Linked DNA regions of Callithrix jacchus. The protein of the gene in region 1 purifies or fractionates together with the protein of each later gene. This does not show direct contact. Links are inferred from orthologs where the notes say so. Each region holds a gene or a part of one and is shown in the gene's direction. Other genes may lie near its edges. The genes, in order: ACTR3B, ARPC4, ARPC2, ARPC1A and ARPC1B.

Region 1 (6,076 bases):
TCCTCGGTTGGCCATGCCCACAGAGTTTTAAGAAAGCAAACAAGCTTGTAGCAATGAAACCCCCAGATGAGGACAGACTGCACAATTCTGGTGGCAGAGAACCGTTGCCAGGAATTTTATCCAGTGTGTTCATTATCAGATAGTCTCTGTAAGGCGGGGGTCTTACAGAGGGTCTGCTGTGTTCAGGGCTGTTCCCTGTGAGAAGTGGGGGTCAGGCACCAGGAGTGGGGCGGGGTGGTAGGTTCCAGGAGATCTCTCACTGCTGCAGAGAGCCCTCTGAGGAAAGGTGGCCTCAGAACCACCTTGGTTCCTGTCCCTGAAGGCCAAGCCCAGCTCTTCCCATAAACATATTACACTTGGTCGGGCGTGGTGGCTCACACCTGTAATCCTAGCACTTTGGGAGGCTGAAGTGGATGAATCATGAGGTTAGGAGTTCGAGACCAGTCTGGTCAACATGATGAAACCCCTTCTTTACTAAAAGTACAAAAAATTAGCTGGGCGTAGTGGCGGGCACCTGTAATCCCAGCTACTTGGGAGGCTGAGGCAGGAAAATTGCTTGAACTCGGGAGGCAGAGGTTGTAGTGAGGCGAGATCACACCACTGCACTCCAGCCTTGATGACAGAGTGAGACTCTGTCTTGAAATACATGCATATATGTATGACTTAAGATTCTCGAAGCTGATAAAAAAAATTGTGGCACAGTTTGGTGAGACCACAGATAGCCACTTGTTGATGGTTTCCCATGGCTCTGTCCCCGGCCAAGCCACTGTAGAAGCTTTAGCTCAGGGGTGTCCAACCTTTTAGCCTTCCTGGGCCACATTAGAAGAGGAATTGTCTTGGGCTACACATAAAATACACTAACGCTATTGACAGCTGGCAAGCTAATAAAAAGGTCCTGTGCATAATTTTTTTCATATTCACTACAGATAAACAAAAATGTTGTTGGATTCAAAGGGTTGGACACAGCTTTGGACACAGCTTCTTTAGCCCCTGACGGCCTTTTCACCTTAGAAGCTGAGCAGCTACAGCATGTTAGATGATTTATGAAACATCTGCTGTTGGTAGGTAATCAGAGGTGAAATTTCTTTTTACAGACACTCAGGGTAGGATTGGGGCAGATCCCAGGTGGAAGGCCAGGTCCCCGGTGGCTTCCCCAAGTGGAAGGCCAGGTCCCCGGTGGCTTCCCCAGGTGGAAGGCCAGGTCCCCGGTGGCTTCCCCAGGTGGAAGGCCAGGTCCCCGGTGGCTTCCCCAGGTGGAAGGCCAGGTCCCCGGTGGCTTCCCCAGGTAGAAGGCCAGGTCCCCGGTGGCTTCCCCAGATGGAAGGCCAGGTCCCCGGTGGCTTCTCCAGGTGGAAGGCCAGGTCCCTGGTAACTTCCCATGGCTCCTGCCCCCTTTCATTCTTCCTGCACTGACTTCAGTTATCTAATCCTGAGTCTACGTGAGTGCTGTCACAGCAGTTCTAGGAGTTGGCATGAGAGAAAAATGACCCCTGTGCACTCCGTCCTGGCTGTCTTTCCTCCGGACAGCGATAAGCAGGAGTGGACTGCTTTCACACCATACAACTTAGAACCTGGGTTGCTGGGGACAGAAAAGTGATTTTTTTCCTGTACTGATTCCTTGTGACTTCTCCTTACTTGTAAACTTGGTGAGGGACTCACTGTTCACGCACACAGAGCTGACTGGGAGGAGTTCCTGAAAAACAGAGTTCTACAGTTGGTCAGAAACTTGGGAAGAGCTAACATATCTAGAGTGTCTTAAAGCAAGTAGGGCTTTTTGACACCTTGAAGGATTAATTTCCTTATGTAGTTTTCTCATTTGGTGTTTTCTCTAAGAAAGTTAAATCGGAGATATATTATTCCCCCTTGTCAGTGGGGAATACGGTTCAAGACCCCCCAGTGGGTGCCTGAAACTGCAGCTAGTACCAAATCCTGTATATACTGTGTTTATTCTTGTACATACATACCTATGATCACGTTTAATTTAGAAATTAGGCACAGTAAGAGACTTTTGAACAGCAATAACTAATAATAAAACAGAATAATTACTATAACAATATACTATAGGAATAGTTATATAAATGTGGTCTCTCTCTCTGTCTAAATATCTTACTGTATGTACTCACCCTTCCTTGTCTTGTGAGGGTATGAGATGATGCAGTGCCCATGGTGAGAGGGCGAGAGGTGAGTGACGTAGGTTAGGCCACTGTAGCCTCTGACGTGCATCAGAAGAGGACTGGCTGCTTCAGTGACCTGGGCCATCAAGCCATGAGGATGTCAGTGGCTGCAGGTCAGGAGCTGATGGTGTGGATGACTGACAGGCGGGCAGCATGAACAACACTGGACAGAGGGCTGGTTGAGGTTCTGGGCAGAGGAAGCGCAGCAAGCAGGTGCTTCCCCTTCCTCAGCCCCACACCGAGCTTCTGTGTGGCCACTGAGTGAGTCCTGGCACTGGAGGGCAGTACTGGCCGGGTGGCTCACTGGAGAACGTTTCTTTGGGTAACTTGGATGCTTTCTTTCAAGATCGTCCTTCTAAGAGCCTTCGAGCATCCATTAGAAGACTTTCCCCTGGTGATGGTTAAGGCAAAGCAGTGGGAGAGCCAGTAGTCATGTGGCTCAAGTCAGCTGGACAGTTTCTGTTGTTACTTGTGGCTTCCTGGTCCTTGTGAGGGGTAGGCAGGGGGAGCGTGAGGGAGCAGAATCGCCTTGTTTTTACTTTGCTGTAATGGAGGAAAGGATTCAGGAGCCATCTGTGACACATTGTTATCACCATAAAAGAAGAAATCTACATTTTTCCAATAGCATTAACTTTGCTTCTGTTTGTGTCTCTCATAGGGCCGGTGTGTCATGCCCACAAGCAACTGGGCCTGTGGGGTTCTGTTGCGGGTGATTTTACCCAAGGCTCCCTCTACTTTGTGTCTTGTAGAATGTCGTTCTCTCAGGAGGCTCCACTATGTTCAGGGATTTCGGACGCCGACTGCAACGAGATTTGAAGAGAGTAGTGGATGCCAGGCTGAGGCTCAGTGAGGAGCTCAGCGGCGGGAGGATCAAGGTAGGAGCCAGGGGCCTCCACGTGGTGCTGGGGGAGGAGGGCGGTTTCTGCGCTGGGCCCGACTCGGGCCTTCCTGACACAGAGTTTGTCTGGGCCATGTGAAAGAAAAACAAATGTGTGTTGCTTTCTGAGCTGCATTGTGACATTACCACAGAGGTTTGCTACCGGAGCTCCTTCCAGACTGGTGGTTCAGACCTATGGTCCTGGTGACACAGCCACAGCAGCTTCACAGTCTTCCTGGTCATACCTGCCAGCAGTTGCCTTTTGTGTCGTACTCTTACGACATGGGGCGCAATGACCAGTGTCCCCAGGAGATAGTTCTGATTTACGGTGAGGATCTATCTTCTCATGTTCTCTGGAAATGTTCTCATTAAACGAAAATAACTAATGTTAGCAGGGAGTTACAAGGCGTCTCTCCAAGATAGTAATTCTCAGGCAGCTGGTGATTATCTTGGGCTTCTAACCAAGAGCGGGCTTGGATAGGGGAGCTGGGGTCCAGGAAGAGAGTGCACGAGTCCACTGCTGGGAAAACATAGCTTCTTTTTGTATTTTGGGGATGGTCAGTCTTATTTGGGATGAAATGTTTGGTCAAAAAAAATCAGTGAGGCTAGTTGCTTTGTACTTCTGTACTTTAATGCCCTCAGTGTTGTGAGAGGGGGTTCTGCTTGCCGGGGCGTACCGTGTTCCTTTGAGCCCCCAGGGCTGGAATTGTCGTAGATCTGGCGGGGGATTTGGCAGCAGAGGCAGAGAGTCACTGACTGCCGGGTGCGAGGTTGTACTTGTGCCACTGAGTGGAGGGTGACCCTGGGTGAGGCCATGGTCGGGTCAGCTGGAGGGTGACTGGATCGCAGATGTGTCTGCACACGTGCAGTAAGTGAGAGCTGCTTTCTCTTCCAGCCGAAGCCTGTGGAGGTGCAGGTGGTCACGCATCACATGCAGCGCTATGCAGTGTGGTTCGGAGGCTCCATGCTGGCCTCGACTGTAAGTCCCTCTCTCAAGGGCTCTGTGTTTCCATGCCTGTGCTTGCTGTTGAGTTTGGGCAAATATTGTCTATGAAGGTGAAATAGTGTGCACTCTAAACAGACAATTCTGTAGATATAAACTATATATATATATATATTTTTTTCTTTTTGATACAGAGTCTTGCTCTGTCTCACTCTGTCGCCCAGGTTGGAGTGCAGTGGTGTGATCTTGCCTCACTGCAACCTCTGCCTCCTGAGTTTAAGCAATTCTCCTGCCTCAGCCTCCCAGGTAGCTGGGATTATAGCCGTCTACCACTATATCTGGTTAATTTTTTTGTTCTGTTTTTAGTAGAGATGGAGTTTCACCATGTTGGCCAGGCTGTTCTCGTACTCCTGACCTCTGGTGATCCACCTGCATTGGCCTCTTAAAGTGCTGGGATTACAGGTGTGAACCAATGTGCCTGGCCCTATGTAAACTATATCTTAATAATCACACAACACATTTATCAAGTATCCTTGATAATTAGGGGTTACAGATAACATGCTAAGTGGAATCCAAACATAATCTGAAAAAAATCCCACATTAATCATTAATTCCAGTGACTTTTCCAAATAATAATTATTTTTCCCCCTCAAATTTGTGAATAGCTCACACGTTGTTAGTGGGGGAGCAGCATTTGGTTGGTCCTAAGAAGATAGAGGCTGACAAAGCTTTTGAAAAGTAAAATAACCCCCCGTTTAGTAGTTCAGTCCATCAAAGAGGTAAAGTCTTCCAGCAGTGGTCCCGTGAGGCAGGGTGGAGGCTGGGATGAGAAGAGCGTCTTGCCTGTGCGGTAGCAGCTTTCTGCTGACCCTTTTCTGAAATGCGTTCTCTCCTTCTGCCTGTTGCCTCTGGTAGCCGGAGTTCTTTCAGGTCTGCCACACCAAGAAGGACTATGAAGAGTACGGGCCCAGCATCTGCCGCCATAACCCCGTCTTCGGAGTCATGTCCTAGTGTCTGCCTGAAAGCGTCGTCTGATGGTGTCACGTTGGGGAACAAGTGTCCTTCAGAACCCAGAGAAGGCCGCCGTTCTGTAAATAGTGACGTCGGTGTTGCTGCGGAGCAGCGTGCTTGCATTGCCGGTGCATGAGGCGCGGCGCGGTCCTTCAGTCAAAGCCATTTATCCGTGTGCCGACGCTGTCTGCCAGCCTCCTCCCTCATCCGCCCTCCTTCCCCACGTTTCTCCTCCTCCTTTCCTCCTCCTCCTGCTTCTCCTCCTCCTCCTTTCCTCCTCCTCCACCATCTCCTCCTCTTCCTCCTCCACCTCCTCTTCCTCCTCCTCCTCCACCTCCTCTTCCTCCTCCTTCTCCTCCTCCTCTTCTTCCTCCTCTTCCTCCTGCTCCTCCTCCTCCACCTCCTCTCCCTCCTCCTCCACCTCCTCTTCCTCCTCCTTCTCCTCCTCCTCCTCTTCCTCCTCTTCCTCCTCCTCCTCCTCCTCCTCCTCCTCCTCCTCCTCCTCCTCCTCCTCCTCCTCCTCCTCCTCGAGCTGCTAGCTGACAAATACAATTCTGAAGGAATCCAAATGTGACTTTGGAAATCATCAGAGAAAACAACCTTAGAAAATGGCACAAAATCGTTGTGCACCAGGAGAGAATGTGGGGGCGCAAACCCTTTTCTTCCCAGCCTATTTTTGTAAATAAAATGTTTAAACTTGAAATACAAATCGATGTTTATATTTCCTATCCTTTTGTATTTTATGGTATTTGGTACAACTGGCTGATACTAAGCACGAATAGATATTGATGTCATGGAGTGCTGTAATCCAGAGTTTTTAATTGTGAGGCATGTTCCGATATGTTTATAGGCAAACAAATAAAACAGCAAACTCTTTTGCCACGTTTGCTAGAAAATGATTATACTTTATTGGAGTGACATGGAGTTTGAACACTAAACTGTATTGTATGAGAATTACTACAGATCATGTATCTTTTAATTTTTTTGTTTGAACTTTCTGGAGCTGTTTTATAGAAGATGATGGTTTGTTGTCGGTGAGTGTTGGATGAAATACTCCCTTGCACCATTGTA
Region 2 (6,076 bases), on another chromosome or scaffold:
TCCGCCCCTAGAGGCAAAAAAAAATAATCATTTCTGGATTGATAATTAAAGGAAGCCAAACTGTGTTCAGTTTTAGTCTTTCCCTACTTCTAAGACAGGTATTCTCTCTGCATTTCTAAATGGTATATTGATTTGCCTGTATAAGTTGAGTATCCCTTAAGCAAAATGCTTAGGACCGGAGGTATTTTGGATTGTGGAATATTTGCAGATACTTAACCAGTTGAGCATTCCTAATTCCAAATCCAAATGCTCCAGTGAGCATCTCCTTTGAGCATCTTGTCAGCACTCAGAAACTTTCAGATTTTTTTTTTTTTGAGATAGAGTCGTATTCTGTCGCTCAAGCTGGAGTAAAGTGGTGTAATCTTGGCTCATTGCAGCTGCCACCTCCTGAGTTCAAGCAATTCTTGTGCCTCAGCCTCCTGAGAAGCTGGGGTTATAGGGGTGTGCCACCACACCTGGCTAATTTTTATGTTTTTAGTAGAGATGGGATTTCACCATGTTGGCCAGGCTGGTCTCAAACCCCTGACCTCAAGTGATCCACCTGCCTCAGCCTCCCAAAGTGCTGGAGTTACAGGGATGAGCTACTGTGCCCAGCCAGTTTCAGATTTTGGATTTCAGATTTACAGATTGGGGATATTTAACTTGTAGTTACTAAAATCAGCTGTCCTTTGTAAAGCTCCTACTATGTGCCAGGCACGCTATTAGATACCTGACCCTTTTTTGATCTCTCTCAGTCCTTGCCAATGAAATAGGAATCAGAGTCATTTTACAGATGAGAAAATTGAGATTCCAACAGGGTAACTTGCCCAGGAAAGTAACAGAGGAGGCTGGATTTCAAAACCTTTTCGCTCTGACTTCAGAGCCTGTGCTCTTTCTGCTGAAGAACACACTCACTGGTCCCCATCTTGGAGCACTTCTGCTTGTGAGTCTTCTATTCCTTGGACTCCATGGTGTCATAGTGATTCCAGGACTTGCTGTGGGGTCACTCTGACTGTTGTGTCCCTCTATAGTACAGAGTACTCTGTGACATTGTGTTTTCAGGAGTAGCAAAGAACTCCTGTTACAACCTGTGACCATCAGCAGGAATGAGAAGGAAAAGGTTCTGATTGAGGGCTCCATCAACTCTGTCCGGGTCAGCATTGCTGTGAAACAGGTAAGGTCACCTTGTAAGAGACGTAACATAAGGACCTCACTTTCAATCCAGGGGTCCCCATCTGAGAGATCAGCGTGCCACATTCAGATGGAGGCTCACTCTTGTTGCCTAGGCTGGAGTGCAGTGGCAAGATCTTGGCTCACTGCAACTTCTGCCTCCCAGGTTCAAGCAATTCTCCTGCCTCAGCCTCCTGAGTAGCTGGGATTATAGGCGCCCACCAACATGTCCATCTAATTTTTGTATTTTTAGTAGAGATGGGGTTTCACCATGTTGGTCAGGATGGACTCAATCTCCTGACCGCAGGAGATCTGCCTGCCTCAGCCTCCCAAAGTGCTGGGATTACAGGCATGAATCACCATGCCCAGCCAGTAGTGGGCAACTCTAAATTGTCAACAGGATAAAAACAAAACAGCATTATTAAATGCAGACTACATACTGTGTTCTACAGAAAGTTCTAACCCTGGGGCCTGCTTTCTTTGTTAGAATGGGAGATTAACAAGTGTTGGGAGGTGTTAAGGCATACTAGCAACCAGCTGCAGAAGTCTTTCTTTACAAATGTTGAGCGTTCAGGGCCGGGTACGGTGGCACGTGCCTGTAATCCCAGCTACTTGGGAGGTTGAGGCACAAGAATCACTTGGACCTGGGAGGTGGAGGTTGCAGTGGGCTGAGATTGTGCCACTGCACTCCAGCCTGGGCAACAGAGGGAGACTCCATCTCAAAAAAAAAAAAAAAAGAAATGTTGAGAGTTCAGAAGGGAGAAACTTCAGAGATTGTTGGATGTTCAGTGTTATAAAGCAGAGACCACCTAAAGTTATCTCTGATAGCCCAGGTGGTGCTGCGACACACCCTGGGAAATGTAACACTAGTGAAGTGGGAATGAGAAGGGCAGCTTGGCGTATCGCTGTAGACTCGTAAAGAAGCCATAAAAGACTCTGTTTGCCAGAATTACCTCTCTGGAATGGGTCCTCATTAAGAGATGCCCCAAGATAGACCCTTGTTTCAGTTGGCAGCCAGGTCCCTCACTTCAGTGATCCTTCCGAGTACCAAACCTCACTGTCTCCTGGGAGCTTTGGAGAAATTGGAGTCAGAAGACCAGGCTACAGGGTATTTTTGGCTTGGGTGTCGGCTTTAGAGAAATGTTTCTCCCTTTTATTTCCCAGGCCGATGAGATTGAGAAGATTTTATGCCACAAATTCATGCGCTTCATGATGATGCGAGCAGAAAACTTCTTCATCCTTCGAAGAAAGCCTGTGGAGGTGAGACCTTGTGACCCATGAATTTGCAATACCCAGGATCCTGCTACAGAATGGCCTGGAATTGTTTCTAGAACCTGGATTGCTGCTCTTCCAGCTGTTTGGCACCACCGCCTGAACTGAGAGTTGGCCTTCATCTCAGCTGGAGTGGGAACCAAGAGGATCAGAAGCCTAGGAAAAGTTGGGTCTACCTCAGCCATACAAAAGGCAAAAAAGGACCAGGAGTGGTGGCTCATGCCTGTAATCCCAACACTTTGGGAGGCCGAGGAGGGTGGATCATGAGGTCAGGAGTTCAAGACCAGCCTGGCCAAGATGGTGCCATCCCATCTATACTAAAAATATAAAAATAAGCCCAGTGTGATGGCGGGCACCTGTAATTCCAGCTACTCGGGAGGCTGAGGCAGAGAATTGCTTCAACCCGGGAAGCAGAAGTTACAGTGAGCCGAGATTGTGCCACTGCACGCAGCCTGGGTGACAGAGTGAGACTCCATCTAAAAAAAGAAAAAGGAAAAGGCAAAAAATATAAGATACATTGCTTATTCCCAGAGCCTACAGTCTAGCAGCAGAAAGAGCACAGTGATTTTGTTGTTGTTATTGTCGTTGGAGTTTTGCTCTTGTTGCCCAGGCTGGAGTACAATGATGTGATCTCGACTCACTGAAACCTCTGCCTCCCAGGTTCAAACCATTTCTCCTGCCTCAGCCTCCTGAGTAGCTACCATGTGCTACCGTGCCTGGTTAATTTTGTAATTTTAGTAGAGATGGGGTTTCATCATGTTGGTCAGGCTGGTCTCGTGACCTCAGGTGATCCACCCATCTCGGCCTCCTAAAGTGAATCATAGTCTCTTAAAGCCACAGTTAACACTGGGTCAGTTGTTGCCTGACTTTGTACTTGACCCTCCTCCACAGACTCCTTACCAACTTAACTTAAAGCATCCCCACAACTACCACACAGCAGGATATGCCATCATCAGATACATCAGGCATGTTGGCCAAGTTCTTCCTCATCCTGAGCCAAATTTTTCTCTCCCGGTCCTAGATCTAACCTCTTTGGCCACCTGGAGTAAATAAAATTCCTCTTCCTCACATACGCCTCCAGCAGAAAAAATACCTTAATCCCACTCATCTTCCACATCATCTCTTTTCTGGACTAAATGTTCCCTGTTGTTTGATTAGATTCTTCTGTAACAAGACTTCAAGTGCCTTGACTCATTCTGAATGTAGAGTTGTTTGTGCCACAGATAGTCTTCCAGAGATGTCTGATACACACAGAATTCTCAACTGGATTGAGTTGCTTGGATCCAACCTACACGCCCTTCCCCAGAGCAGGTGGGCTGCTGACTGGAAGGGTGTGTAGCTTGGGAGAAGATCACAGCCAGTGAGAAACATGTGAATGAGTGGAGGACATGACCAGCTCACTTCCCCTGGGGTGCTAATTCTCTCCTGTTCCTTCCCTTCTTCCTCCCTGCTGTCTTCTTTCCTAGGGGTATGACATCAGCTTTCTGATCACCAACTTCCACACAGAGCAGATGTACAAACACAAGTTGGTGGACTTTGTGATCCACTTCATGGAGGAGATTGACAAGGAGATCAGTGAAATGAAGCTGTCAGTCAATGCCCGTGCCCGCATTGTGGCTGAGGAGTTCCTTAAGAATGTGAGTATAGGCTTTTCTGCTTTCCTTCCAGAGGCTGAAGGATCTGGAGTCATGTTGAGAACTTAGCACCTGGTGGGAAAGGGGTGCTAGCAGTGTGTTTATATCTTTGGAACCCCTAGAACACAGCAGGTTGCTCAGGTGCTTTGGAGCTAGAAGGCCCCAGGTTCATCTCTGAGCGCTACAGGCATTTTCTGTATTTTTGGGTGTCTAGGATGTCTCTTAGTCTCTTGTAGGAACTTGGACACTCATTTCTATATCTCAGGATGTTCATAAAGTCCTTACCTCTATCTAGTTCAAACCCTAAGTGAGGCAAGTGAAGTCTGCATGTGAATTTTCCCGGAATATAGGACAGTTAATCATGGTATAATTCCACTTCTCAAATAGACATCAGTACTTTCCTTAGCGTCTGTTTCTTAGGCTTAAAGTCATGATTCCTTCAACCTGTTTTCCATCACTTGCATGGCCTAAGTCCTCCAGATTCCTCTTATATTGTTTATGCCTTTCTAATCGAAAGGACTGTAGTCATATGAAGAGGTGGAATTATTTACATTGGTAACTGATGACATAGTTCTTAGTTGTTTAGATATTCAAGACATGCCTTCTTTTTTTTTCTACTTTTCTAAACAATCTTTGGTTTGTTGGCATGTTCTACCCAGAGTGGCTGTGATCTCTAGGCAGTAGACTTAGTGTGTACTCTCACCAGTGAGTGCACACCCAGTCCAGAAGGAGCTCAGATTGCTAAAAATGGAAATTATACCTGCTTCCCCTGGGATTTAATTATACTCAGGGTGGCCAGCATACAAAGTAGCTGTGCTGTGCACACAGATCAGCGTGGTTGTTGAGCTCAGTCAGCTGTGGAGGCCGACAACCTGTGTGTGAAACCAGGTTCCACCGCCTACTTAGGCATGTCACTGAATTCTCAACTAAGCCTCAGTTTCCTCAGCTGTGAAATGAGGATTTGGTAGTTAATACATGTCTTTCAGAGTGGTTGAGCATTAAATGAGACCATATGTGTAAAATGTAGCACCTGGTACATAGTAAGCTTTCCATGTATTGCAGTATCAAAATTTTATGTCCAGGGTACTAGGAGGCCTCTAGATTGAACTGGAAGGGGAAAATAGCTCTTGTTCCAATTGAATCTTTGGCTCACTCATTCAATAATCATTTACTTATTTGTGACAATTACATTTCATAGAATTAGACACCTAAAAAAGCATGTTCACATGTCCCATTTATTACTCAAAACAATTTTTTTTTTTTTTTTTGAGATGGAGTTTTGCTCTTGTTACCCAGGCTGGAGTGCAATGGCACGATCTCGGCTCACCGCAACCTCCACTTCCCGGGTTCAGGCAATTCTCCTGCCTCAGCCTCCCGAGTAGCTGGGATTACAGGCACGCACCACCATGCCCAGCTAATTTTTTGTATTTTTTAGTAGAGACGGGGTTTCACCATGTTGACCAGGATGGTCTCTATCTCTTGACCTCGTGATCCACCCGCCTCAGCCTCCCAAAGTGCTGGGATTACAGGCTTGAACCACCACACCCGGCCTCAAAACAATTTTTGAGTCAGCTATTATCACCATTTTAGAGATCAGTAAACTGGGACTCTGGAATTAAAAGCAACTGTCCAAGGTCCCTCAGCCAGTAAGAGGAGGAACCAGAACATGGAACTGGGTTGTCTGACTCAGAGATCTAAGATAGTACCATAACCTATCTTAGATCTTAGATGTGTCAGGGGTCACAAATCAGGTGCATGCAAAGGTCGGGTGGCTGTGGAGTGGGCTAAGTATGGAGTATGGAGAGGGCAGGGTGAGGAGCTGCTGAGCACATGCCTCATCTGCAGGGGCTGGCTCCCACACAGCTCCAGCCCATTGAGCCCCCAGATTTGGATTTGTATATGGTGTCTCCCATGTTTTCAAGGTTAGCAACTAATTCATATAAATACCACGTGGGCCATACAGTACTCATCTTTGGAATAGTTGCAGGCATGGGCATTGGTTCACAACCTTTGGTCTCTAA
Region 3 (6,076 bases), on another chromosome or scaffold:
ATCATATTAAAGAAAGAGAAGTAAAGAAACATACAGATCTAGAACAGAAAAATCATGTCCAGAGTCTTGGGCATGCTTGTCAAAGCCAAAATCCTGACGTGGAAAGTATGTTTCTGTCTCTGGGCCTCCTCCTGCCTCCCACTAAATCATAGACGTCACCACATTGCAGACCCTGTCTTCATACAAGTGTAAAATGTAAAAGTATGTGATAGTAGTGTCAATCAGGCACAGTGGCTCACACCAGTAATCCCAGCACTTCAGGAGGCTGAGGTGGGTGAATTGCTTGAGCCCAGGAGTTCGAGAACAGCCTGGGCAACATAGTGAGACTCCTGTCCCTCCAACCTGGATGACAGAGCAAGATTCAGTCTCAAAAAAAAGACAGTAGAGTCTCTTCTTTTTTAATGGGTTTATCTAGGCATGTTTGGGAAATCTCAGCAAATCATACTAGATTTTTACTTCTCTTCATCCTTAGAAGCCTTACTTAGAAACAGATTTTAGCTTAGCTGTAGTTTTATTTGCTTTGTTTTATTTGGCTTCCTAAAACAAGCAAACCTCAGCTCTAAATCTTTTCTTTTTTCATCTAGCCTTGTAGTCTGTGTGTTTATCTGGTTTTCAGCTACCCAAAATGGAATCATGTTATTTAATACTGGAGTGCCAAAAATGTGCTAAGCATTATCTATTCCAAAGATTTAGACACCCATCCTTCCAAAGAGCCCCTGCTCAACAAAAAACGTAGACCTCAGGAATACTTTTGAGAAAAAATGAAATAGTAATGAGGTGTAAAGTTTTCAGATACTTAGAAGTGTGAAATCCATACATACAGTTCTGGCAAAGTTATTCCCGTCAGTTGCCTAGAATATAAAATGATCCTCAGTGATACACAAATATTCTTGCGAAAATATCTCTAGGCCTTTTGACACTTATTAACCATTTGATTCGCTAATCAAGTGTTCCAGCCCTGCTTCCAGGAATTCATAGTGGACATGCTGTCAAGGCAGGTCAGCCAGTGGTTTCAGTACCTGTTCTGCACCTGTTGTGATGACCTATCATGTTCCACTCATTTTAAGTACTATACATTTTTTTAATGCTCACAACAGTCTCCCCTATCTCCATAGCCCTCCCCACTTTTTTTTTTTTTTTAGAAACAGAGGTTCGCCCTTGTTGCCTAGGCTGAAGTACAGTGGAGCGATCTCAGCTCACTACAACCTTCGCCTCCCAGTTCAAGCGATTCTCCTGCCTCAGCGTCCTAAGTAGCTGGGATTACAAGCACCCACCACTATGCCTGGCTAATTTTTGTATATTTAGTAGAGATGGGGTTTCTCTATGTTGGCCAGGCTGGTCTCCAACTCCTGACCTCAGGTGATCTGCCCGCCTCAGCCTCCCAAAGTGCTGGGATTATAGGCATGAGCCACTGCACTTGACAATTTTTTTTAAGGTCACGAAATGACAAGGCCAGGATTTGGACCCAGTTCTGTTCAACTCAAAATAGAGTGCCCTACACTTACGTATCATGCTGCGCTTGACAAGTCACGTCACTTTGAATCTCCTTTCCCTCCGTAAAACAGTAACCTTACCTAACCTGCAGACTTCAGAGCATTGTTACGGAGATCAAATGAAGTAAAATGTTCTTAAAAATACTAAAAGTTTTACAATGTATACCAGTAAAAGCTACTGGGGAGATATATGTATGAACAGATAGTTGGTTTTTCTACCCTTCCTCCTCAGAGTTGGCAGTGGCACGGAGAATGGTCTATATTATTATCACAAAGCTACCCATGTGTTGGCCGTATTGATACTTGGCACATTAAACTATCAGAGAAAGATATGTGGCTCCTTTACAACTGTATCTGGAAGAGTAAAAAGTAAATTTCCAATCAGAGTTCACAGGTTATGACTTTCTCCCCATTACATATTTGTAATCAGTCGTCTTTGATACTGATTCAAATTTTTTATTAACATTAGTTAAGGCTGGGCGTGGTGGCTCATGCCTGTAATCCCAGCACTTTGGGAATCCAAGGCCGGTGGATTGCCTGAGGTCAGGAATTCAAGACCTGTCTGACGAACACGGTGAAACCCCCTCTCTAAAAATAGAAAACAGTTGGCTTAGCATGGTGGTGTGCGCCAGATCCCTGCTACTTGGGTGGCTGAGGCAGGGGAATTGCTTGAACAGGGAGGAGGAGGTTGCAGTGAGCTGAGGTCACACCACTGCACTCCAGCCTGGGCAACAGAGCAAGACTCCGTCTCAAAAAAAAAAAAAAACCTTGTTCATTCTATATATTTATAAGAATCTTATAAAAAATTAAGATTTTATTTCACCTCATTTTGCCCTGCGAGGTAAATGGAAATGGACTACCTGGATTGAAAGTACAGACACTGAGACAAAGTTAAAATGTCAGTAGAACCTAGAAAAAAAATTGTTTAATTGCCTCTAGTCTCTATTTACTTGGTTGAGATAGTATGCTGCTTTTTTTTTTTTTTTTTTAATATAACTGCTGGTTTGTTTCCTCCCTCCAGGATACAATGTCTCTTTGCTATACGACCTTGAAAATCTGCCTGCATCCAAGGATTCCATTGTGCATCAAGCTGGCATGTTGAAGCGAAATTGTTTTGCCTCTGTCTTTGAAAAATACTTCCAATTCCAAGAAGAGGGCAAGGAAGGAGAGAACAGGGCAGTTATCCATTATAGGGATGATGAGACCATGTGAGTATAGAATTTGGTCCTAAAGCCTGGATATGGCCGTCTCACCACCATGGCACCTACTGAAAGAAATATGGCTTGGTCAAACCTTAAGCTATATTGTGTGAAAGTGTTTTTATCATAAAATGTCTTAAGCCGGGATGTAGATGATAGGGCAGAAATCAACCACTCTTCATACTCTCCAGATACTGAGAGCTGACAGATGGTGGCAAGAGAATCCAGTGCTGGCCGGGCGCGGTGGCTCAAGCCTGTAATCCCAGCACTTTGGGAGGCCGAGGTGGGTGGATCACAAGGTCAAGAGATCGAGACCATCCTGGTCAACATGGTGAAACCCCGTCTCTACTAAAAATACAAAAAATTAGCTGGGCATGGTGGCGCGTGCCTATAATCCCAGCTACCGAGGAGGCTGAGGCAGGAGAATTGCCTGAACTCAGGAGGCGGAGCTTGCAGTGAGCCAAAATTGCGCCATTGCACTCCAGCCTGGGTAACAAGAGCAAAACTCCGTCTCAAAAAAAAAAAAAAGAGAGAATCCAGTGCTTTCCTTTAAGGCACCACTGTTCTGAGTCCTCTTTAAGAGGATAGCCTTGATAGTCAGCAGGCAGAGTGACCATAGGTTCCATGTTATATTTATAAGACAGTAAAATCTACTTCTGATATAATTTCCATCTCCTGCCTGTCTCAGGGCAGGGCATTCATGTTTTACACTGACTTGTTGACCATGAATATCATCTCATTTGGCATGCCTTTATATTATGATTCAAGAGATTTATGACTTTAGCCTTCTGATGCACTTGTACATCAAGTTATTGGCAAAACCCCTTTCTGATTCTGTACTTATCCTCCTGGGTTTTGTTCCCCTCAGGTATGTTGAGTCTAAAAAGGACAGAGTCACGGTAGTCTTCAGCACAGTGTTTAAGGATGACGACGATGTGGTCATTGGAAAGGTGTTCATGCAGGTATGGAGCAGACATCTTGGGGGAAAACCATGCATGGCAACTTATAACTTTGCAACAAAACATACCATAAGCATAGAAAATAAAAAGAGATCTAGCAGGTCTGTTAATGTTAGAGTTTGTTGAAAATTTAGTAGACAACTCCCCGTAAAACTCAGTGAATGTTGTTTGGTTTTGGTTTTGCTGTTGTTTTTTGGGGGGTTTTTCTGGGGGTTTTTTTGGTTTGTTGTTGTTTTTTTTTTTTTGCGATGGAGTCTTGCTCTTGTCACCCAGGCTGGAGTGGGATGGCACAATCTCGGCTCACTACAGCCTCCACCTCCTGGGTTCAAGTGATTCTCCTGCCTCAGCCTCCCGAGTAGCTGGGATTACATCCACCACACCGGGCTAATTTTTGTAATTTTAGTAGAGGCAGGGTTTTGTCATGTTGGCCAGGCTGGTCTCAAACTCCTGACCTCGAGATCCACCTTCCTCAGCCTTCCAAAGTACTGGGATTACAGGCATGAGCCACCACACCCCGGCGTTGTTGTTTTTTGAGATGGAATCTCAATCTGTCACCAGGCTGGAGTGCAGTGGCAAGATCTTGGCTCACTGCAGCCTCCTACTCCCAGATTCAAGTGATTCTCCTGCCTCAGCTTCCCGAGTAGCTGGGGCTACAGGTGCGTGCCACCATGCCCAGCTCATTTTTGTTATTTTTAGTAGAGACAGGGTTTCACCATGTTGGCCAGGCTGGTCTCTATCTCCTGATCTTGTGATCCACCCACCTCGGCCTCCCAAAATGCTGGGATTACAGGCATAGGCTACCACTCCCAGCCTGATATTTTTTTTTTCAGTGGTTCCAGTTTTACAGAACAGAACTAAAGGGTGAATTGAGAACTAAACATGCTAACTATAAGTGAATATTATGTATCCTTCCTACTGTCGGGTCTTTGACCTAACCTCTTGTGATTCCTCAGATTTCTAGAAAGGTCTGCTCTTGGTTTAGAATGGACTCTATAGCAAATTCTTTGGCAGTAGATAACCTGTTAACAGGTAGAGTTGTTGAACTGACAGGGTGGCCCTGAATTTGGATGGGTCACCATAGAGTACTTCCTTCACAAGAAGCTCATCTTAAGAGGAGTCATGAGAGTTAGCAGGGCATTTAGCAACTGGATTTGTGGTGTAGTTGCATTCAAGTCATTGTGTACAGTTGTTAGTTCCTGGCTCGAGGACGGTATGAGTTCATTGGTCAGGTGACATTCAGGGTGATTTCTTCTGAGATGGCTCAGCATTCCAAATCTAGTACAGTGGTGAAATTTTTTTAAAAAACATTAGTACCGTCATTCTGTTCCTTGACAGGTTGGTAAAGATTTTAAATTCTGAAGCAGACTCTCTTTTGCCAAATAGAATTGAAAGACAGCTGTGCTTAACAGTGAGGATACTTTGCATAGCCTTCTAAGTGGCTAGGGAAATCTTCAAAAGTGATATCCTTAATTTGATCCATCCCTAGTGGCTTTTGTGTTTTGGCTAATTAATCAGAAGCTCTAGTTTGGGAGTCCCTATACAGAAAAATTGGAATATTGACACTTCAGCATTTGCTAGTGCTGAACTTGATGAAAGAATATATAAATATACACATATCTCTTGGGTCCTAAAAGTAAGCCTCTAGATAGGCATTATATGTGTTTTTATGCAAAATTGACAGGGGAATTAAGTGCAGTAGCTCAGAAATTGGGCTAAATCCAGAGTAATAAACTAACTTTAAAAGCTCTGAAGTATATATTTAGATTTGGCTGGTTTTTTTACCAATCTTGTTCCATTTTATTCCAGGAAACAACTTATTTTTATACTTTAAACAGATTTTTGGAGAGTGTAACAGAGATTTGTTCCTTAGGAGAATTTTGTGTATTCTTTTTGGCATATGAATTTAAATGTCACCTTCACGGTACCTGTGTAGGGCACTTATCTAAAAGGGAAGGCAAAGCCTCTTGCACTTTGGCACAAACAGGATCTCTAGATAGTAACCGGCCTGGTGCCGTGCTATACTCAGGAAGTCATCTGCCCTGCCACCCTTTCCAAATTCAGAGGCTGAGGTAATTTGTTGAAAATGACCATCGAAAACTGGACTTCTGCTGGATTTTCCCAAAAAATAAATGGAACTTTTTCCTAGGCCTGGAATTGTACATTTCTTGGGAAAGAGAATAATGGACACCTGGCACAGAAAGTTGTACCCTGCTAACACTGAAGTTCCTCATAGTCATTAGTCTACTTGTTGCCGGCCTTTGTGGGCTTTCCCTTCCATCATGCACATCCAGCCTGATCAGAATTCAAGTCTTGCTTTTGTCATTTGGCAAGCAAGCTCCAAGGGATGCTTTTTGCCTTTCAGAAAAAGACAGGGACTTTATTCCTCCACTCTCATGGATGTCTTACTGTTAGTGGTGTGGACATA
Region 4 (6,525 bases), on another chromosome or scaffold:
TTCCATACCTGCTGTCCTCTCTTTCCCAAGTTGTCTCTTGGAGGGGGTAATTTATGATGACCTTTCTGCTCTATTCCCCTATGATCAAAGACTTTGTAACCATGGGGCAGAGTTAAAATCAGTGACTTTCAGTGCATCGTGCTACATAAACAGCTGTCCCCAATCTTTTTGGCAGCAGGGACCGGTTTCATGGAAGACAATTTTTCCATGGACTAGGGGGGAAGGGGCCAGGGGAGAGGGGCAGGATGGTTTTAGACCATCAGGCATTAGATTCTCATAATGAGCATGCCACCTAGTTCCCTGGCATGTGCAGTTCCCAATAGGGTTTACTTTCCTATGAGAATCTAATGCCCCCACTGATGTGACAGGAGGCAGAGCTCAGGCAGTAATGCGAGAGATGGGGAGCAGCTGTAAATACACATGACACTTCGTGGGCTCACCCTACTCACCTCATGTGCCATCGGATTCCTAATAGGCAACAGACCAGTACTGGTCAGCAGCCAGGAGGTTGGGGACACCTGCAGTAACTCGAAAGAACACAGCAGGTCTGGACAGGAGAGGTGGCTCATGCCTGTAATCCTAGCAGTCTGGAAGGCTGAGGTGGGCGGATCACCTGAGATCAGGAGTTCAAGACCAGCCTGGCCAACGTGGTGAAACCCCGTCTCTACTAAAACTACAGAAATTAGGTTGGCCTAGTGGCACGCGGCTGTAGTCCTAGCTACTTGGGAGGCTGAGGCAAGAGAATCACTTGAACTCAGGAGGCAGAGGTTACAGTGAGCCGAGACTGTGCCACTGCACTCCAGCCTGGGCAACAGAGCAACACTCTGTCTCAAAAAAAAAAAAAAAGAATAACATATCAGGTCTGAAACTGAGAGTTTGACAAGTATACCTACGTAAACCTCAACCTGCAACCAAGCACTGGGATAAAATATGTAAATACCAAAGGGAAGGAGACAAATCCTTGGTTGGCCTGGCACAGGGGCAGGGCTCACACCCAGTGCTTTGGGAAGCAGAAGCTGAAGGACTACCTGAGCCCAGGGGTTCAAGAACAGCCTGTACAATATAGGAAAACCCCATCTCTACAAAAAAATATATAAAAATTAGCCAGGCACAGTGGCTCACACCTATAATCCCAGGGCCTTGGGAAGCTAAAGAGGGAGGATCGCTTCAGCCCAGGAGTTCAAGACCAGCCTGGGCAACACTGCAAGACCCTGACTCTACCAAAAAATAAAAATTAGCTGGCCAGGCACAGTGGCTCACGCCTGTAATCCCAGCACTTTGGGAGGCCGAGGCGGGCGGATCATCTGAGGTTGGGAGTTCGAGACCAAGCCTGACCAACATGGAGAAACCCTGTCTCTACTAAACACAAAATAATGACCGGGCATGGTGGTGCATGTCTGTAATCCCAGCTACTCGGGAGGCTGAGGCAGGAGAGTCGCTTGAAACCAGGAGGCAGAGATTGCAATGAGCCAAGATTGTGCAACTGCACACCAGCCTGGGCAACATGAAACAACGTCTCTAAATAAATAAATAAAAATAAAAATTAGCCAGACGTGGTGGTGTACACCTGTAGTCCCAGCTACTTTGGAGGCTGGGGCGGGAGGACCGCTTGTGCCCTGAAGTTCCTGGCTGCACTGAGCTATGATCGAGCCACCGCACTCCAGCCTGGGCTACAGATCGAGACCCTGTCTTAATGAAAAAAAGAAAGAAAGAAAAAGAATAACAAAAAGGAAAGCTCTCGATTAGTCCCATCCGTGGGGGCTGAAGCTGCTCCAGAATTTCTACGGGTTCAAGGGCAGCAGCCTAGTTGCAGATGGGGGAACCACGGCAAACCTCAGAAGCTGTCCTCTGTGAACTGGGGGCATAGCCTAGCTCCCCCAACCTTTTTCCCTGCGGCGCCATCTTGGGAGAAAGGAACAAGTGACTCTGCCCCGCGAAGATTCGAGAAGGTTCCTGGGGGACTTCAGGGGCTTTCCACAGTGGAAGCACGGCGGGGGCGGGGGCTCCCTGCACGAAGCAGCGCTGAGGTCGACTGGTTCTGACCTGGGCTCTCTGAAGAGAGAAAAACTCAATCGTTGGTCAGGTCCAGGAGCTCCAAAGACCCCCCAATCCTCAGTCACTTATTTCCTGACAAAAGAACTTGCGAAACTGCCGAGGCGCCACACTTTGGCTCGCGATTGTGAGGAAACTGATTGAGGAACGGAATGGGACGCCCATGCCGCTTCGCCAGCACTTGACAGGCGTTCCGTGGGGCCACATTCCCTCTGAAAGGCCACCGCCTGTGCCGCAGCAGCAGCAAATCCGACCGCGTACCCTTCCTCACCACAGTCTACCTAAACCCGGACTGCGCGCCTGTGCTATGCGCATGCGCAGACCGCCCGCACGGCCTCACCGCGCAGGCGCCGTGGCTATTTCCGGGATCTGTCAGCCGCTCCCTCTGGGCTTCCGTCCTCCGCCCGCGCCCGCCGGAGCCTGTTCGCGTCGACTGCCCAGAGTCCGCGAATCCTCCGCTCCGAGCCTGTCTGGACTCCCCGGACCCCAGGTAACGGCCAGCAGGGGCAAGCGTCTCACCCTGTCGGCCTCTCTTGTCCCGGTCTCGCGCCGGACTTGGACCCGCGGGGGCGGTGAGGTGGGGGCTTAGGCCGCGGGGCCCCGAGGCTGAGGCGCGGCCGGGTCTGCTGGGGCCTCCTGAGGGGGCGGGGATCCCCTTTCTCCGCGGGTTCCCTGGAGTTTCTCTCTTGATGTTCAAGCTCCTAGCCGTCTCCAATGCCAGAATTAACGACCTATTCTGCGCCCCAGGGTCCTGATTGCACCTCTGCTGGGGACATTTGTCACCGTCTCTAAAATTGTGTCAAGCAGGAGAATCCCCTAATCGAGCGTCCCGCGGGACCATTCATCTCTTTAGCGTCTGGAGTCGATCCCTGCATACAGCAGGCGCCCATAGGATGTTTGCCTCCTCTCTAGGCAGCCCTCAATCTTTCAGTTACTGGGGAACCTTTCCGATCTCGAGAAAAACCTTCTTCTGAGTTCTTTCAGATCCCCCTGCATGAGTACCGCCTTCCCCCAAGTCAAAATCGCACCCTTCTCGGCTCTCCTGTTCGTAAAATCTTTTATGCCAGTCTTGGCACCACCACTTTGTTGGGTGATCCTGGGAAGACTGCTTCTCTGTGCCTGTTTTCCTCATGCAATAAAAAAGATTCTTACTGTTTTGCTAAGGATCAAATGAGCTTATTTGCATAAATTGCTTAGAATAGTTCCTGGCCTAGAGTAGGTGATCAATAAATATTCACTATCATTACTGCTTCTGGGCGTTCTGTGCATATCTGTCTCCCTTTCCTTTTCTACCTTCTCCACTCTTAGCAACCACCAACCCTCCAGACTTGAAGACCAGAATGGTGTCAGCCTTATTTATGTTTCTGTCCCCATCCCAGTATTTACAACACTGCTGGGAACATGGTAGGCACTTAATAAATTATAGCTTAGAATCTTTGATTATAAAGCCATCTGTTCTACTGCAGCTTTGGAACCTTCTGTCTGTGTCAACTCATAGCTTAAATTGCCGAGATTATCTTAATTCTGCCCTCTCTTCTCAATTTTATCTAGTCTTTCGGTTTTACATAGGCCCTGAGTTTTCAGGTAAAAACAAAGGAGGGGTATCAGTCAGGAAGCTGTTTTTGCCCCGTTAGGAAGTGGGTAACTGTGTGGCTGTTTTCTTCCTTTTTTTTCCTGCCCTGCAGCCTCGACCTCCTGGGCTTAAGAGATCCTCCCACCTCAGCCCCCTGAGTAGCTAGGACAACAGGCATGTGCCACCACAGTGGGTGAATTTTCATTCATTCATTTATTTTTCTGGAGACAGAGTCTCACTCTGTCACCCAGACTGGATAGAGTGCAGTGGCATGGTTCAAGCAATTTTCCCGCCACAGCCTCCTGAGTAGCTGGGATTACAGGGTGAGCCACCACGCCTGGCTAATTTTTTTTTTTTTTTTTTTTTTTTGTATTTTTTGTAAAGACAAAGTCTCGATATGTGGCCCAAGCTGGTCTGAAGCTCCTGAGCTCAAGCTCTCCCCCCACCTCAACCTACCAAAGTGCTGGGATTACGGGTGTGAGCCACGACACCCAGCTTATATGGCTATTTTCTCCCATATTCGGAGTATGTATTAGAAGATCTTGTGGAGTTCATCTACTAATCACACTTAAAGGAAGGGATCATTTTGGAAAACTCTTGTTTTGGAGGTGGAGTTGCCATACTTTAATCTAATTGTTTCCCAGTGCTGAAACAAATCCTTCATGAAGAAGTTTAAAATGGTCTCTTGGTGAGGTTGGTGCCTGGACTGGAGCCTGTCTGAACATTGAGGAGGGTGTGGTGACCTTGTTGGATTACTTGATATTGCTGGGTTGGGTAATGAGAGTGGTTAGAAACTAGGTGAATCACGGTCTTAAAAACTGACCCAAAACCAGGGACAGAAATTCCCACTTGTGTGAATACTTTCAAGCTCCAAAGGAGTAGGGCCAAGAATTTATAGCAAATGTCAACAATTATAAGCTCAGAGGAAACTAACTGCTGGGTTCTATGGTTGGTTTAAAAGCCTTGGGTCAAAGGAAGAAAGGGAACCTACTGACATGTATTTCAGAATAGGCTCTGTACTACTTGCTTTCACACGTTGTCTCATTTAATTCTCCTTGTGATGTCAGTGGTATATCCACTTTACAGAGGGGAAAAAAAATGAGATTGAGAAATATTAAGTGACTTGCCCAGGGTCTCATAGCTAGTGTGTGTCAAAGCCAGGATTCAAAGCCAGCCTTGGCTTCAGAGCCCATGGCTAGCCATACATCAGAATAACTCTATACACAGTGATAAAGAAAAGGGATGGGGGGCAGGCACGGTGGCTCATGCCTGTAATCTTAACACTTTGGGAGGCTGAAGTGGGCAGATCGCTTGAGCCCAGGAGTTTGAGACCAGCCTGGGCAACATAGAGAGATCCTTGTCTCTACAAAAAAATTAAAAGTAGCAGGGCATAGTGATGCATGCCTGTGGTCCCAGCTACTCAGGGGGCTGAGGCGAGAGGGTGGCTCACATTTTTATTTGTCCCCTTTTCTTCCTCTCTAGCTCTACTAAGACAAAGCTTTTCAGATTTCATTTAAACATTAACCATAGTTTAGAAGTTATAATTATCACCCTATGACAGAAGGTACCCTTTCTTAGTATATAATTCAGGCTATTAGGAATTTCTTCTGCATTCACTGGGTTTCATGAATGCAAGCTGTGTTTGCTAGGTGCATTCTAAATTTGACAAACATGAGTGTTGTCCTGGCCTACAGACTTAAAATAGCCATATGATTAAAAAAGAAGTACAGGTCTTGAGTATATGTCCAAACATGGAACTTGAATGATATGGCAAAATTAGAAATGCACACCGTTGTGTAAATGGTCACCTCTTTTGAAGTCTTTGGTACTTTGCTAATAAAACTGAGTTGAAAAATGAGAAAGCCTTTTGTCTACAGCTGTGCTTTTCAACTGGACATGAAACACGTACTTTTATGGCACAAAGATATTCACATCAAATTACTGATTTGCAGAGCAGTTTTATTTTCAGTTAACAAAGAAGCTTATCAAATGTGGCTTTTGAACTAAACCACTTTTAATTAAGGAGCTATTTTATGACACAATGTGTTATTTTGAGTAGCTGTAACTAAAATCTGTTGTGATGGAACAATTTGGAGTGAGCATCTGATATCAGAGATAAAGAGAGAAGCCTGCAGTGAGCATCTGGAAGTCTTAAAAAAAAATTAAACATTCTCATTTGAATTCATCTAAAATTTTTAAAATTGCCAATTCCTAAGCTCTTTCTTTGTCAGTCGTAGTTTGCTTTCTTGACTGTATAACAGAAAAAAGTAATGACTTAAGTATCTTCACTCTTAGAATGGAATGTGAAATGCTGACATTTCTCTGCCAGTTCAAGATATCAGATGTTATTTATTTAAAGTTGCACTTACTTTAGTTCGCCCTTTTTTTTTTGTTTTGATACAGAGTCGCACTCTGTTCCCCAGGCTGCAGTGCAGTGGCACCATCTTGGCTCACTGCAACCTCCACCTCCCATGTTCAGGTGATTCTCATGCCTCAGCTTCCGGAGTAGCTGGAATTATGGGTGCCTGCTACCATGTCTGGCTAATTTTTGTATTTTTAGTAGAGACAGGGTTTCACCATATTGGACAGGCTGGTCTCAAACTCTTTACGTCAGGTGATTCATCTGCTTTGGCCTCCCAAAGTGCTGGAATTAAAGGATTGAGCCATCGCTCCCAGCCTGGGTTTCTTTACAGTTAGCAAAGGTGCTGCTTCTGCTTTCTAACTGAGATTAATTTCTGCTTTGTCAGCTGAACTCTCATTGTTCACTTTACAACCTTCTAGTGGCCCTTCCATTCATTTCCTGCTTGCATCAGAATTCATATCTCACATTTCAGCCTCCACCCTAGGTTGACATGACTTATACTTAAGTGTGTTGAAACTTGAGTTTATAGTGAGGGTGC
Region 5 (6,076 bases), on another chromosome or scaffold:
TATCTACCCACTCACTAGAAAACCCTGATTCAAACTGGCTTCAGTTTTAAGGGGACTATGTTGGCTCATGTTACCAAGAAACTCAGAGTGTTGCAGGCTTCAGGAGAGGCTTGATCCGCAGCTTCGTGTGACTAAGAACCAGTCTTTTCTGCCTCCTGGTTCTGTCCTCCAGTGTGCTTTCTGATTGGAGGGCTCTAACACCGCCTCATAAGCTCTAGGAGTGCCCCCTGGTGTCACTCTAAATAAGCACTAGATCTCAGTAAAAAGTACTTTCGGGGCCAGGTGTGGTGACTCATGCCTGTAATCTCTTGCACTTTGGGAGGCCGAGGTGAGTGGATTGCTTGAGGCCAGGAGTTCAAGACTAGCCTGGCCAACATTGCAAAAACCCTGTCTTTACTGAAAAATGCAAAAATTAGCCTGGCGTGGGGGCATGCACCTTTAGTTCAAGATACATGGGAAGCTAGGGCAGGAGTATCGTTTGAACCCAGGAGGTGGAGGCTGAAGTGAGCCGAGATTGCACCACTGCACTCCAGCCTGGGCAACAGAGTGAGACTGTGTCTCAAAGAAAGAAAGAAATTGCTAGGTGGTGCCGGCCTGTAGTCCCGACTACTCAGGAGGCTGAGGCATGAGGATCACTTGAACCCAGGAGGCAGAGGTTGCAGTGAGCCAAGATCATGCCACTGCACTCTAGGCTGGGTGACAGAGCAAGACTCCATTTAAAACAAAATAAAAAGTGCCTGCTGGGCAGATACAGCTTCCATCTGAATTGTGGCCTTTCAGCCTCTTCTACATGGCCACCGTAGAGCCACCTCTGCCTGAGTGCCTTCAGCCTCGTGTGTCCCCTCTGTCCCCCCACAGGCATCGACTGGGCTCCTGAGAGTAACCGAATTGTGACCTGTGGCACAGACCGCAATGCCTACGTGTGGACACTGAAGGGCCGCACGTGGAAGCCCACGCTGGTCATCCTGCGGATCAACAGGGCCGCCCGCTGTGTGCGCTGGGCCCCCAACGAGAACAAGTTCGCTGTGGGCAGTGGCTCCCGTGTCATCTCCATCTGTTATTTCGAGCAGGAGAATGACTGGTGGGTGCCTGGATGGGGCCAGAGTGGACTGGAAGGGACGAGGTGGGGGACTAAAGTGTCCCCGGGAAGTACCAAATGAGATGTCAGGACCCCTGTTCCTACGTCCCTAGGGGAGTCCATCCTCTCCTCTCTGGGCCTCATTCATGAGGCAAGCGCCTCTCTGTAGTGCCCGGATGTTTTCACTGCCAGCGGCTTGGGATAATGGCACTGACCACCGGAAACACCTCCGGGGGTACCTCGCTAAGCCCTGCACACACAGCAGTCCTGACCTCCCTGCAGCTCCATGGACTGGGCATCTCTCACTGTCCTCACTCCACAGATTAGCAAAGTGAGGTCCTGCTGCGAAGTCACTTTCTCAAGGCTCCGCTCACAAGCTTGCAGCCACATCTTGGTCTTTTTTTTGAGAGTCTCTTGCTTGAGCCAGGCTCGAATGCAGTGGCACAATCTCAGCTCACTGCAACCTCCACCTACTGGGATCAAGTGATTCTCCTGCCTCAGCCTCCTGAGTAGCTGGGATTACAGGCGCCCACCTCACGCCCAGCTAATTTTTGTATTTTTAGTAAACACGGGGTTTCACCATGTTGGCTAGGCTGGTCTGGAACTCCTGTCCTTAGGTGATCTGCCACCTCAGCCTCTCAGAGTGCTGAGATTACAGGCGTGAGCCACTGCACCCAGCCATTCTTTTCTGTTTTTTTGAGATGGGGTCTCATTTTGTCACCCATGCTGGAGTGCAGTGGTACAATCACAGCTCACTGCAGCTTGAAACTATTAGGCTCAAGTGATCTTCCTGCCTCAGCCTTCTGAGTAGCTGGGATTACAGGCATGCACCATCACGCCCAGCTAATTTTTGTATTTTTAGTAGAGACAGAGTTTCACCATGTTGGCCAGGACGGGTCTCAATCTCTTGACCTTGCGATCTGCTCGCCTTGGCTTCCCAAAGTGCTGAGATGACAGGCATGAGCCACAGCGCCCGGATATTTATTAATTTATTTATTAATTAATGTATTTATTGAGAAGGTGTTTCACTCATTGGAGTGCCAGGCTGGAGTGCAATGGTTTGATCTCAGCTCATTGCAACCTCTGCCGCCCGGGTTCAGGCACTTATCCTGCCTTCAGGATTACAGGCATGCGCCACCATGCCTAGCTAATTTTGTATTTTTTAGTAGAGACAGGATTTCTCCATGTTGATCAGGCTGGTCTTGAACTCCCAACTTCAGGTGATCTGCTTTCTTCTGCCTCCCCAAGTGCTGGGATTATAGGCATGAGCCACTGTGCTGGCCATATATATTTTTTTGAGACAAGGTCTTGCTCTGTCACCCAGGCTGGAGTGCAGTGTTGCAGTCATAGCTCACCTTAGTCTCAGCCTTCTGAGTTCAAGTGATCGTCCCACTTCAGCCTCCTGAGTTGCTGAGATTACAGGCCCAGCTCATTTTTTTATTTATTTTATAGAGACAGGGTCTTGTCATGTTGTCTGGGCTGGTCTTGAACTCCTGGCCTCAAGCAAGCCTTCCACCTCAGGCTCCCAAAGTGCTCAGTCTACAAGCCTGAGCCATAGTGACCAGTCCACGTCTTAGTTCTTTATGTTTTTGAGACAGAGTCTCTCTCTGTCACTAGGCTGGAGTGCAATGGCGCCATCTCTGCTCACTGCAACCTGTGCCTCCTGGGTTCAAGTGATTCCCCTGCCTCAACCTCACAAGTATCTGGGACTACAGGTGCTCGCAACCATGCCCAGCTAATTTTTGAATTTTTGGTAGAGTTGGGGTTTCACCATGTTGGGCAGGATGGTCTGGATCTCCTGACCTCGTGATCCACCTGCCTCGGCCTCCCAGAGTGCTGGGATTACAGGTATGAGTCACCATGCCTGGCCATGTGTTAGTCCTTAATCTTCTCCCCTGCATGGCTGAGGGCAGAGGCCAGGCAGGAGCATCTGAGAGACACAAATTTGAATCCCACCATGGCCAGTTAGCAGCTGTGTGACCTCTGGTGGTGGCATTACTTTGCTGAGCCAGCTCGGAGGGTGACTGTGTGGCTTACAGTATAGAGGGCACAGAGTTCTCACTCCAGAAGCAACCCAGCACATCCCTGCTGCCCCACGGCCCTGGCAGCCTCGTAGGCTGGGAATAGCCATTTGCCTCCCTCCTGGGTCTTCGGTGGCTGCAGGGAGCAGTGGGTGCCTGGAGTCCCTGGTGCTGAGGTCCGTGAGTCCCACCTGCCTGTCCCTCTCTCCTTGTCTGCCTGACCGCTGTGCCCAGGTGGGTTTGCAAGCACATCAAGAAGCCCATCCGCTCCACCGTCCTCAGCCTGGACTGGCACCCCAACAATGTGCTGCTGGCTGCTGGCTCCTGCGACTTCAAGTGCCGGTGAGACAGGGCACCATGGGGGAGGGCGGGGCTGATGTCAGCTGACTGCCGAAATCACAGCAGGGATTGGGGGGTTGGGGGACCTCCACCTGAAAGTTCTACACCTCACCTTCTAGACCTCCTCCAGAGCTGCTATCAGTGGATGACCTGGGCATCAGTTGAAGGTTCTAGTCCCTGGGGAACCCTTCATGTCTCAGCAGGACGTGCCCCCGCCCACCTGTTTTATTTTTTTGAGATAGGGACTTGCTCCATTGCCCAGACTGGAATGCAGTGGTGTAGTCATAGCTCACTGCAGCCTCCAAATCCTGGGCTCAAGTGATCCTCTTGCCTCTCATCTTCCCAAGCAAGACTACCATGCTCAGCTAGATGGGCTTTTTTTTTTTTTTTGAGACAGAGTCTTCGCTCATTAGCCCAGGCTGGGGTGTGGTGGTGCCATCTCTACTCACTGCAGCCTTTGTCTCCTGAGTTCAAGTGGTTCTCCAGCCTCAGCCTCCGGAATAGCTGGGACTACAGGTGCATACTACCATGCCTGGCTGATTTTTGTATTTTTAGTACAGATGGGATTTCACCATGTTGGCCAGGCTGGTCTCAAACTCCTGACCTCGGGTGATCCGCCCACCTCGGCCTCACAAAGTGCTGGGATTACAGGCTTGAGCCACCACCCCTGGCTGACAGGATCTTGCTGTGTTGGCCAGGGTAGTCTTGAACTTCGGCCCTTGCCACCACTTAATGCCAGAAAAGTTCTTCCCAGGGCCTTCTCTCCTGACTCACGAGAACTTCCTACCCCTATAGTTTCCTGGCTTCAGTCTGAAGGAAAATGAGTTGGTGTGCTTATTCATACCAAGGTATAAATGACTGAAGCTGAAACAAACCCTGCTTCATTGTTTTAAGGCCTGAAACAGAGTCTCCAGCTGCCATTCACTGTTTTTATTTTTTTTTTGAGACAAGGTCTTGCTCTGTCACCCAGGCTGGAATACAGTGGGGCAATGACAGCTCACTGCAGCCTCGACCTCCTAGTCTCAAGCAATCCTCCTATCTCAACTTTGAAAGTAGCTGGGACTATAGGCACAACCACTATGCCCGGGTAGGTGCTTTTATTCTTAGTAGCAATGGGGTCTCACTATGTTGCCCAGGTTGGTCTTGAACTCTCGGCCTCAAGAAATCCTCCCACCTTAGCCTCCTAACAGTGTTGGGATTACAGGCATGAGCCACTGCGCCCAGCCACCTGTTAACCCTTTAAAAATATATTTTTTTAAATTTTGAGTCAGTCTCTGTGGCCCAAACTGGAATGCAGTAGTACAATCACAGCTCACTACAGCCTTAACCTCCTGGGTTCAAGTGATCCTCCCGCCTCAGCCTCTTGAGTAGCTGAGACTACAGGTGTGCACCACTTTACCCTTTTTTGCCTCTCCTGATAGGATCTTTTCAGCCTACATCAAGGAGGTGGAGGAGCGGCCGGCACCCACCCCATGGGGCTCTAAGATGCCCTTTGGGGAGCTGATGTTTGAGTCCAGCAGTAGCTGCGGCTGGGTACATGGCGTCTGCTTCTCAGCCAGTGGGAGCCGCGTGGCCTGGGTGAGCCATGACAGCACCTTGTGCCTGGCTGATGCCGAGAAGAAGATGGCGTGAGTAGAGGCCATCCCTGGGGAGGAGGTGAGTGCAGAGGAGTGGGACAGCATGGCTGACAGCTCTCTCCCCTCAGCGTCGCGACCCTGGCCTCTGAAACACTGCCGCTGCTGGCGCTGACCTTCATCACAGACAACAGCCTGGTGGCAGCGGTAAGGAATGGGGAGGGAAGGAGGGGGGGGTGTGGTCAGAACTTTGTGGTAGGCTTCGCAAAGAGCCCAGCAACTCTCACTCATCTCTTCCCTCCTTTCTCCTGTCTCCCGCCTTTTTTTCTTCCTTGCATTCTTGGGTTATGCTGCAGTAACCGAAAGACCCTGGCTGCAGTTGCTTAACAGAATAAAGATTTGGCCAGGGCCGAGCGTGGTGGCTCACACCTGTAATCCAAGCACTTTGGAGGCCAAGGCGGGCGGATCACCTGAGGTCGGGAGTTCAAGACCAGCCTGACCAACACGGTGAAACCCCATCTTAAAAAAAAAAAAAGATGCCGGGCGCGGTGGCTCAAGCCTGTAATCCCAGCACTTTGGGAGGTCGAGGCAGGTGGATCACAAGGTCAAGAGATCCAGACCATCCTGGTCAACATGGTGAAACCCCGTCTCTACTAAAAATACAAAAAATTAGGTGGGCATGGTGGTGTGTGCCTATAATCCCAGCTACTCAGGAGGCTGAGGCAGGAGAATTGCCTGAACCCAGGAGGCGGAGGTTGTGGTGAGCCGAGATCGCGCCATTGCACTCCAGCCTGGGTAACAAGAGTGAAACTCCATCTCAAAAAAAAAAAAAAAACAAAAAAAGATTTGGCCAGGTATGGTGGCTCATGCTTAAAATCCCAGGTTAAGGTGGAAGTATCACTTCCACCTTATGAGGCCATGAGTTTGAGACAACACCGTGAGACCCTTGTCTCTGCAAAAAGTTAAGAAATTAGCTGGGTGTGGTGGTGTACCTGTAATCTCATAATCCCAGTTACTTAGGAGACTGAGGCAGGTGGATCACTTGAGCCTGGGAGGTTGAGGCT

Evidence for each region.
Region 2: the proteins of ACTR3B (region 1) and ARPC4 purify together in Homo sapiens (affinity purification with mass spectrometry; 5 studies listed by BioGRID and IntAct, counting the BioPlex papers as one, with this or other methods). This does not show direct contact. The link is inferred for Callithrix jacchus from reciprocal best matches to the Homo sapiens genes ACTR3B and ARPC4.
Region 3: the proteins of ACTR3B (region 1) and ARPC2 purify together in Homo sapiens (affinity purification with mass spectrometry; 6 studies listed by BioGRID and IntAct, counting the BioPlex papers as one, with this or other methods). This does not show direct contact. The link is inferred for Callithrix jacchus from reciprocal best matches to the Homo sapiens genes ACTR3B and ARPC2.
Region 4: the proteins of ACTR3B (region 1) and ARPC1A purify together in Homo sapiens (affinity purification with mass spectrometry; 5 studies listed by BioGRID and IntAct, counting the BioPlex papers as one, with this or other methods). This does not show direct contact. The link is inferred for Callithrix jacchus from reciprocal best matches to the Homo sapiens genes ACTR3B and ARPC1A.
Region 5: the proteins of ACTR3B (region 1) and ARPC1B purify together in Homo sapiens (affinity purification with mass spectrometry; 5 studies listed by BioGRID and IntAct, counting the BioPlex papers as one, with this or other methods). This does not show direct contact. The link is inferred for Callithrix jacchus from reciprocal best matches to the Homo sapiens genes ACTR3B and ARPC1B.

Annotation. Positions count from the first base shown.
Region 1 is NC_133512.1:95,387,657-95,393,732, reverse strand, and holds part of ACTR3B (actin-related protein 3B), read left to right. Parts: intron 1-2,923; coding exon 2,924-3,049; intron 3,050-3,946; coding exon 3,947-4,030; intron 4,031-4,909; coding exon 4,910-5,005; 3' UTR 5,006-6,076. UniProt on the Homo sapiens protein: Plays a role in the organization of the actin cytoskeleton.
Region 2 is NC_133516.1:66,962,615-66,968,690, forward strand, and holds part of ARPC4 (actin-related protein 2/3 complex subunit 4), read left to right. Parts: intron 1-1,041; coding exon 1,042-1,153; intron 1,154-2,313; coding exon 2,314-2,409; intron 2,410-3,887; coding exon 3,888-4,058; intron 4,059-6,076. UniProt on the Homo sapiens protein: Actin-binding component of the Arp2/3 complex, a multiprotein complex that mediates actin polymerization upon stimulation by nucleation-promoting factor (NPF).
Region 3 is NC_133507.1:139,980,424-139,986,499, forward strand, and holds part of ARPC2 (actin-related protein 2/3 complex subunit 2), read left to right. Parts: intron 1-2,514; coding exon 2,515-2,701; intron 2,702-3,560; coding exon 3,561-3,654; intron 3,655-6,076. UniProt on the Homo sapiens protein: Actin-binding component of the Arp2/3 complex, a multiprotein complex that mediates actin polymerization upon stimulation by nucleation-promoting factor (NPF).
Region 4 is NC_133503.1:14,252,040-14,258,564, reverse strand, and holds the start of ARPC1A (actin-related protein 2/3 complex subunit 1A), read left to right. Parts: upstream 1-2,439; 5' UTR 2,440-2,542; intron 2,543-6,525. UniProt on the Homo sapiens protein: Probably functions as a component of the Arp2/3 complex which is involved in regulation of actin polymerization and together with an activating nucleation-promoting factor (NPF) mediates the formation of branched actin networks.
Region 5 is NC_133503.1:14,190,794-14,196,869, reverse strand, and holds part of ARPC1B (actin-related protein 2/3 complex subunit 1B), read left to right. Parts: intron 1-858; coding exon 859-1,081; intron 1,082-3,333; coding exon 3,334-3,441; intron 3,442-4,859; coding exon 4,860-5,066; intron 5,067-5,143; coding exon 5,144-5,219; intron 5,220-6,076. UniProt on the Homo sapiens protein: Component of the Arp2/3 complex, a multiprotein complex that mediates actin polymerization upon stimulation by nucleation-promoting factor (NPF).